2 linked regions of the Sus scrofa genome follow. The protein of the gene in region 2 binds, or shares a complex with, the protein of the main gene of each other region. Links are inferred from orthologs where the notes say so. Each region holds a gene or a part of one and is shown on either strand. Other genes may lie near its edges.

Region 1 (4,483 bases), on a different chromosome or scaffold from region 2:
AGCCATCCACGTGGACCCCAAGGTCACTGAAAGACAAGAGCAGAGAAGAGCATTAGCAACCGGCACTACTGTGAATGCTTAGGACAAAGACAAGTGCTCTGAAATGGCTTAAGCTTACATTTTTACCAAGTCACCTTCCTTGAGAATATAGTCCTGGTCGCTCTTCAAAGGGGAGAAGTGACATACACAGTTATTTACTGAAATGCTGGTGGGAAAGGCAATACCTGTAAAGAGACAATCAGCCTTATTGCCTTGCGTGCTCTCTTAGAGGCCTGCTGCCCCTCAGAAAGATGAAAGAATTTTCATCAGGGTCTTGCCTAAGTTTAATCAGTTTGGATTAGATGGGAAACTGCTTGAATCCCCCTTATCATTCCAAATATCTCAACCAGTGCTGGAGCTGGGGGTGCATCATTATAATAAAACAAACAGGACTGAATAAGGGTCAAATGCAGGAAATTAGTGGGGGATTATTTTTACCTTTCTTCATTTCTTTTTCTTTCTTGAAAATTTTCCCTGTCTCTTCCATTATCATGGCATCCCCTTTCTCGCACAGGCTCAGTACCGACACACCTGAACAGGAAGCTTCCACCAAAGACCGAAGTACCCCTGGGAACAGAATCCCATTGGATCAGTCCTGCAAGTGTTGTCTAAGTTACCATCTAAGCAATACCTCAAAGCTAAACATTTCCTGGTGCCATTGCTTTAAGGATGAAAGAGAGAACAAGTTGTGCCTCTTGGGAGTTCCCATGGTGGCGCAGTGGTTAACGAATCCGACTAGGAACCATGAGGTTGCGGGTTCGATCCCTGCCCTTGCTCAGTGGGCTAAGGATCTGGCGTTGCCGTGAGCTGCGGTGTAGGTTGCAGACGCAGCTCGGATCCCACATTGCTGTAGCCCTGGTGTAGGCCGGTCGGTGGCTACAGCTCTGATTCGACCCCTAGCCTGGGAATCTCCATATGCCGAGGGAGTGGCCCTGGAAAAGGCAAAAAGACAAAAAAAAAAAAAAAAAAAAAAAAAAGTTGTGCCTCTTGGAATGTACTTACCTATCCATCTCTAAATTGCTACCTTCCTTTCCTAAAAAGAGCCAACACTTCCTTATACATTGTGACAACTGGTGACACTGTATGCACTGTCTGTCTCCCTAGGCAAGGCAGACTTTCCCAAGATGATAGCTGAGGTGTGCAGGACAGAGTCATGAACTTCAAGGAGGTTCTCAGCAAGGTATCCAACACACTGGCAAAGCAGACTGGGGGAAATTTATAGGCGTCAGGGACAACAGGAGGGCAGACATAGAATTGCTGACCCGAAGCTGATGCATTGTTAAATGCTACCTTCTTCCCTTCCCAGACACCCCAATTAAGTGTTAGTAATCTCAATATGTAGACTTATTTCTTTATATAACAAGTCAAGGAGACTTAACCTAAGGTCTCTGGGCTTCAGCAAGCTTGGGCTTATAGCTTTTAGCAGATCTCAATGAGGTATGTGACCCAAAAGAGTTTCCAACTGGTATCTGGAATCCCAAGTGCCTCAGAAGTTATAAACTGCAAGAGGAAAAAAAAGTTTTTCTGTTTTCAAACCACTAAATGTCCATTATGTTATAAAGCATTGTTCTGTTCACTGGATATCCTCTCCAAGGCCCAAAGTGAACTATAGGTTTGATTTTTGTGATCCAAGTTTTGGGGATTTTTTGGAAGTTTGAAAAACTCAGGTTTTTAGCCATAGGATCAAAGGCATCCTAAATACCTATCTTTACTGTCAAAACCATTTAAAAGCCCAAAGACAAGCATCTTCTGTCCCCTAACTGGGTTTTAAATCGCAAAGAGAGAAAAGAGAAAGTGAGACATCTGCCTAGAGTGGCAGGCAGCTGCTGAGAAGTCTGAGCGAGCCCCCATAAGGATAACTTCCGAGATCCTATAAAGTCAGTCTCCCCTTTACCAGTGCTCTACACAGGTTTGCCTGGTTGGGGTGAAAAGAACCTCAAAACACTCCTAGAGCTGTCAAACCCCTGAGAGCAATCAAATTTGACAACTAACTAAAGCTATCTGCGCAGATTGGAGATGATAACTTCAAGAACAACCAGATACGTCTCCAAGAGTTATGTTAGGGGTTCTCCAGGGGTACCCTCCAACGGTCCCTGAGCTGGCCCAAGAGTAGAAGGCGGCCCCCTCCAGGGAGGGAGCTGAAGTAAAGAACGAAAGACTACAGCAAAGCACGTGGTAGGGAAGCTAGTGTCAGGGACTGTAGCGGAGGAAGGGAGCCGGCGATCCGCTGGGGACCCGGCAACACGTGCCGGCTAGGCTCCTGACGGCGGGGAGCAGCGACAAAATAGAGGAGCGTTTCGTTTCCGAGGTGGCCTCCCTGCTGCCAAAATCAGAGGCAGAGATCCAGACAGAAGGATGAAGAGCAGGACATACGCCCTGCCTCCTTACCAAGGGCCTAGGGTCGGAGCCAGCCGGGGCCCCGCTCTGCGCTCTTCCCTGCCACCCGCCTGCATCTTCACAGACTCCAGCCCAGGCCTAGCCGCTCAGGTCCCAAACGCGATAACGAGCCTTCCCACCACGCCAAACCCAGCAGACCCGCGGGGGGCCCTCACTAGCCCACTCTGCATGACCCCACCGCTCCAGCCCCTCACCGGCTCGTCAAGCACCGTCCCCCTTGCCTCTCCCTCCCAGCCTCGATCTCCGGACCCCCGAGGCCGCACTCACGGTTGGCGATGTCGCCCCCCATCTTATACTTGGTCACGACCAGGTCCTCGGCGATAGTCTGCTCCTGTTGCTCGTCCTCGCCCGACATCTTCCCACCACCACCACCGCAGCCTCGTTTCTCCTGAGCCGCTGCCTCTGTCGCCCTTCCCAACCACAGGCTGTGGCCAGAGCCCCTTCGATCCGCGAGGAGAGCGCGAGCAAAAGCGCGAGCAAGCTAGGGAGCGGGCGGGCGAGAGCGAGAAACTGCGAGCGCGCGGGCTGATGCGCAGGGCATGCTGGGACAACGAGTCCCTCCCGCCGCCAGCCTCTAGCTGCCCTCGCGGACTCGCGAACTACAATTCCCAGCCTGCCTTTCGCGCCCCTAAGCCAGGCCCTGGGGCCTTGCCCTCCGAGGGCCTCGCACGCCGGAATCGCCAAGCACGCTGGGAAGGGTCAGGCTCCGGCGGGAAGGCGGAGCCGTTGGAGAGCATGAGGGGAAGCGTGGTCTCTCCCGGAAAAACCATATCCACCAGGAGCGCTGAGCGAGAACCCGTAATAGAGGGAGGCGGGCTAAGGGAGAAGGGGGCGGAGCTACGGCGGGGACGTGGGTTTGGAGGCTGCGGGGCAGGGTGGAGCAGAGACGAGTGGGGGTGATTGTATCAAGGGCGGGGAGGCTGGGTACGCCCTTCCTCGGATCCCTGGAGCGGCAGGCGGACCGGCCTGGCCAGTCCGATCGTCCTCAGGTGCTGGGAGGGGCAGAGCGAGTGTGGAAGGAGACCCGGAGTGCGTGGAGCAGGGACTAACTGGGCACCAGATTTCTGTGGGATTATCCATGTACAGCCTTCCAAGTCTAGAGGCCGGCTCCCTCTGAAGATGGCACTATTGTTCCAACAACAGGCTTTGATGGCACCTAAGACGGACACTTTTTTTTAAAGTTGTGAAACGTTTGAGAGTTTCAGTATTCTACCTCTTGGGGCCTTTTCTAACTGCCCCAAACGTGTTTTGTTTGGTTGTTTTGTTACTCCCAGTTAGTCGGTTGCCCTATACAGATTCCTAGTAAAACGCTTAAATGAAAAGGACTGTACCCTTTGCTTGTCTAAAGAGACTATAAGGAAAGTGGGGCTGGAGAAAGCTACAGGGGGCCAAGTAGGACTGTGGGGAGACAGAGAAGGAAGCATGCCATGGTAGCCATTCTCTGCTGTGGAACGGAGAAAAGGGCTGATCTGTCCACTCACTAAAGTTTGTCGTTAGACAAGAAGCTGCAAAACCTTGGCATCTTTATTCAGACATGTATAAAAACAAAACAAAAACTTGAGGGATAAAAACAGATACTCCCAGTTTCCCATTCAAAGGAACTGAGGTCTGAAGCCGGGTCCTCTTTTTCATCTCCACTGGAAGCTTCCCACTACTGAATGAGAACTGCTCCTAAAAAATGGCTCTGGGGACCGTCTGAGTCTGTCCCTTAGGCAGATATCATATGTAGCACACGAAGATTACGGTTTACACAGAGATGTCCAGTTATTTTTCCTTCTGTCCACCCCCTTACTCCCACTTGCTGAGATGAGCAGTCCAGGTGTAGGAGGAGGCTGTGGATATTGGGGTTAGACTTGATTCAGTGCAAACACAAGAAGACAATACCTCTTACTAGTGCTCTGACTTTCATCAGTTTTCTTTGACACCTTACACTAAGAGCATGGTGCATTGGAAAATTTTGAATCCTGGACCTGCTACTTGATTTACTTAATCTCCTTAAGGCTCAGTTTCCTTATTTGTAAAATGGGATAATGCCTAGCTCACAGAA
Region 2 (4,472 bases):
CCAAGTAGCACTCCACATGAGGGTTTGCCTATCAGGCTAAAGATTTTTGGAATAAAGAAAAAGCCTTGTATTCTAAGAATAAATTTAGAGCAAAGTTTGAAAAGATAGACACATTTAAAGAGTACTTACTCTTATCTGATCCACAATTTTCCTTATTTGGGGTTCGAATCCCATATCCAGCATTCTATCTGCTTCATCAAGGACAAGGTAGGTGGTCCGTCTTAGATTGGTTTTCCCACATTCTAAAAAGTCAATCAGTCTTCCAGGTGTCGCGATACAGATTTCCACACCTTTAAACACAAAAATGTAACCAAGACATCTAGAATTTTAGCACCACCAGTGACAAATCAAACACTTTCTGTTTTGTACCTCTCTCCAAATCACGTATCTGTGGTCCCTTAGGAGCACCACCGTAGATGCAGGTGGACTTCAAGCGACACGCTCTACAGTATTCAGCAGCTACTTGCTGTACCTGTTGGGCCAGTTCTCGAGTTGGTGCCAGCACCAAGCACTAAGAAAAGAGAAAGTGGAATGAATACCTTTCAGCAGAGTTCCGGAGTCTACTTTTGAAGTGATGATATATCAGTGTTACAGCAGCACATGACTTATTTTGCTGTCCAATACCTAGAGCAGATTTGTTTCCAGATAAATGGTACAAAACAGCTAACGTCTCCACTTAAAATCACCACAAATTGTCATTTGCTTTCTACTGGACAAATCTCTGTACTTTTAAACAAAGCTTAAGGTATACTTACAATAGGTCCATCACCTCTCTCTAGGAATGGCTGATGATTGATGTGGACAATAGCAGGGAGCAAATACTGTTCAGAGAAGGGGCAAACAGAAGTTACACATTAAAATATTTCTGGTTTCTTTTAACTTCCAACCCATTTCCTCAATCACTCGACACAGAATTACAAGTTGCCCAACTTACAGATAATGTTTTCCCAGATCCAGTTTGTGCTACCCCAACCATATCCAATCCACTTAGAGCAACAGGCCATCCCTGAGCTTGAATAGCAGTGGGTTCAGTAAAGTTCTGCCTCGCAATCACATCCATTACGTTTGCTGTAATCATAAACAAGTAAGTTAAAATTAGAAATGCCGAGAGAAAGAATTTTTTTTTAAGGTAGGGAAAACTAGCACTTACCAGGAAAGTTTGCTTCATAAAAATTCAGAACTGGCTTTGGGCAGTTGTGACCTCTAACTGTAATTTCCTTGCTTCTTCTGTATGTCTCTACCTCTTGCTACAAAACAAATTACAAAAATCCAGTTGTCTTCTCATGACAACTCCCCTTAACTGAAAATGCAACCAATAAGCTCCTAAATTCATAATTGACTTAACTACTTTAAGATGGCCTTTTAAAATTTGGATCCATATAAAAACCCTAAACAAACAAAAACCACTTATTACGTTACACCCAACCATTTTAAGTAGAAAAAGTCACTTGTCTCCAAAAGTGAGTAGTAACTCCTCTTCCCCAAAGTAAGTAAGATCCTTACTTACTCAGCATGAGTTCCCCAAAACTTAGTTATGTGCAGGGAACTTCTAGTCAGATTTTGATTCACTGCAAAGTTATTAATTATTGAATTACAGCCTGAAGAAACCACATGAAATTACTTACTGCTGTTCGCCTAGCCAAATCAGGGTGTTCTTGATAAAAATTCTTCTCAAATTTGGGCAGCTCATCAAGATTCCACTTCTTTTTAACCAGTTTCTCCCCAGGGTTTCCAAACTTCTTTCCAGATAAGGGCCCTGCCCTACTTCCTCCAAATCGAGGCGCACCAAACCTGAAATTAAAAAGTCACATCTTCGAACACGTACAGACATATTAACCACCCCTTGGCACATGCTAAATATCAAAGACTTCCAGGTGGAACAGACGGTCATTCTCTCAAAAGCCACAATTAGCACCGCATCCTTTTCATTTCCCGTTGTACCAAGTACACGCCATTGAACCCAAATCATCAGCCCGGGATTTCACAGGTCGGAAAGTGGCTGCCCGAATGCCAGAAGTTCAGATTACAAGGAGCGTCAATAGTTGGGGCTACTAATCTCTCCCATGAACTTAAAAACTAAATATCTGAGAGAAAGACAAGAAAGGATAAGCCTAACAGCGATGTTATCTACCAGCTGTTCTCAAGCAAAGGAGCTTTGATTTTAATAGATAACGGAACAGCACACAGAGCAGAAAAAGGTGGGTTATCTCGCGGACACTTACGCAAGCCGAATGACTTGGAGAGATGCCCCAGAAAGGACCGCGATCAAGGTAGCAAAATTATATAAACGTAAGGAAAAAGAAAAGGAGGCGTTGGAGACTACCGGGGGAGGAGTCCCTGCCGGGCGGAGTCGGCCGGGCGGCGTTCCCGCTGGGGCGGCGCTTCCCCCTTTGTCTCGCATTTCTCTCTGCGCCACATTTTCTCGACGCTGCCATTTTGAGCTCCTCCGCCGGGCGGGGTAACAAAGGCGCCGCCGCCATGTCCGATGCCGGCATTTTGTACCCGCGGCTCAGCCACATGGCCGATTCCCGCGGTGCCGGTCACCGTCCTGCCCCCGCCGCAATAACGGCATCGGAGACGGCCCCCTCGCCACCCACAAAATTCCTGGGGCCCCCAAAACACCTTCCGAAAGGTTGCACCTAACAGCAGCGATTTCGTCCGCCTCGAAGCGCTGCGCTCCCCTCCCTTCGAAATACGCTCCTTGGAATTCTCCCAAGAGCTGATAAATCATCGAGGCCGCGATGCCCCATCCCAGACAAAAGAAGAGATCTCGAGAACCATTAACATGAAACTCCCAGGCAGTTTCAAAAATATCAAAATGGCGCAAGCCTTTGAGGGACGAGGCCCAAACATAGGCTGAGGAAGCCGAATTCCCGTCGCCACCCCGCCCCCCCGCATCGGCATCCCATCCCCCACCCACAGGGCCTGACAGGTCAGTTCCCACACTCACCCTCGATCCCGGCCGCGGTCTCGGTCACTTGAATAACTCGACATGGCGTCAATGGTTGCGGTTGGCGGGAAACAAAGCACAGAGAATCGGGTGCGACAAGTCGCTGGAGGTGGCTTCGACGACGGCGAAGCCTTGCGGGGGCGGCAGCGGCGGAGGGACGGCGATGACAGGAGCCCAAGCTGCCCGACAAGAGACCGGTGGAAATGAATGAGGTGCCGGCCGCGTCCCGGCAGCCGGTTTTATAGCCTGGACCGCCTCCTCCGCCGCAGAGAACGCTGGGAGCTGCTCTATGACCTAATCACCCCGCCCCTGCGCCGAGGCCGCACCGCCCGCGGGCGTTCCGAAATCCGCCATGTTCTCGCCCCTCCTTCTCCTCCCCCCACCCAAACCATCCCTCCCGTTTTTCACTCCTTTCAAGGGTGGGTCCATCCACCCACTACTGGGAAGCCTCAGTTTTTACTCTCTTGACTTCACCTTTTCCTTGTCTTCCACACTTCAAGGAAGTCGCCCCGCCCTTTTTCAGGTCCAGCACGAACAATGAAATGGCCCACCCAGACCAAGCCACTTGGTTCTCTTGGAAATGTTTACGTCTCCAAAGGGCCCTCACGCCCACAACCCGGCGAGACGGGTAGGCGGAGCCTGACATTGTCACGTGACTCCCCCCCCGCCCACCGGGTGAGCGGGCCGCACTACTTTTCCAGATGGCGTCGGCGGAGGAGTACAAAACGAAATCGCTCGCCGGAAGTGCAGTGCTATTGCCCGGGGAGACCGGCCAGGTCGGCTGGTTGACCCGCGGGGCTGTTAAACCCACCCACCTGAGAACTCCTTAGCGGGATCTGGTCGGCGGAGAATGGTATTTAGAGCTCGCAAACCGCCGCCCCAGCGCGTGCTGCGAAAGGAAGTGGTCCTGTGGTGACCAATCAGCAACGAGAAGCGGTTTTAACGTCCCTCCCTTTTTAATCCCTCCTTCCCGGCACTTTCGTTTGCTTCCCCCTCCTGTCAGCACTGGGTCTGCGGCGTGCGGCCCTCCCTGAGCTCCGTCCCGCGCGCACCGGGCCAAGAGTCCGACAGCGGCCTGCCTTCTCGACATGGCCGGCTCAGAGGCTGGTGAGTCTCGGCCTGTCGCTCCGGTGTGTGTGGACGAAGTCGTCCTCTCTAAATCCCCTAACGTCCCTGCCACTTTTACCTTGAGGCCTCGGGCGGGTTTGGGCGGCCGGCGGGGCTGGTGACACCCCGTGATAGTTGGCGGGCTCTCTGGGTAGGGTCTCATCCCCGCTCCCTGGCTCTTTCCGGGTTGTGGGGTGCGGTTTTGGGGGTGGGTTAGAAGGGCCCTTGCGGTGAGGCCCGTAGCGCACGCAACCTGGCTGCGAAAAGGGCAGTCGCGTAGCTTCCCCGGACTCGTATTTTTCTGGGGAATCCACCCACTCACTGTGCCTGCAGTTCTTGCATTGCGAGGACTGAGGTAGCTAGTACCTGCATCTTTATTTGAACATTGGAGGACCGGCCCTCTTTAAGATCTGTT

The links.
Region 1: DDX5 (region 2) and PA2G4 share a complex: the UniProt entries of both Homo sapiens proteins name them as parts of the ribonucleoprotein complex. The link is inferred for Sus scrofa from reciprocal best matches to the Homo sapiens genes DDX5 and PA2G4.

Annotation. Positions count from the first base shown.
Region 1 is NC_010447.5:21,494,500-21,498,982, reverse strand, and holds the start of PA2G4 (proliferation-associated protein 2G4), read right to left. Parts: upstream 2,987-4,483; 5' UTR 2,792-2,986; coding exon 2,704-2,791; intron 1,540-2,703; exon of another isoform or gene 1,419-1,539; intron 607-1,418; coding exon 478-606; intron 225-477; coding exon 119-224; intron 27-118; coding exon 1-26. UniProt on the Homo sapiens protein: May play a role in a ERBB3-regulated signal transduction pathway. Seems be involved in growth regulation. Acts a corepressor of the androgen receptor (AR) and is regulated by the ERBB3 ligand neuregulin-1/heregulin (HRG).
Region 2 is NC_010454.4:14,571,079-14,575,550, reverse strand, and holds the start of DDX5 (probable ATP-dependent RNA helicase DDX5), read right to left. Parts: upstream 2,821-4,472; 5' UTR 2,402-2,820; coding exon 2,223-2,401; intron 1,792-2,222; coding exon 1,626-1,791; intron 1,248-1,625; coding exon 1,151-1,247; intron 1,069-1,150; coding exon 935-1,068; intron 822-934; coding exon 756-821; intron 512-755; coding exon 370-511; intron 291-369; coding exon 130-290; intron 37-129; coding exon 1-36. Other genes in the region: CEP95 (centrosomal protein of 95 kDa), read left to right, coding at 4,039-4,057. UniProt on the Homo sapiens protein: Involved in the alternative regulation of pre-mRNA splicing; its RNA helicase activity is necessary for increasing tau exon 10 inclusion and occurs in a RBM4-dependent manner. Binds to the tau pre-mRNA in the stem-loop region downstream of exon 10.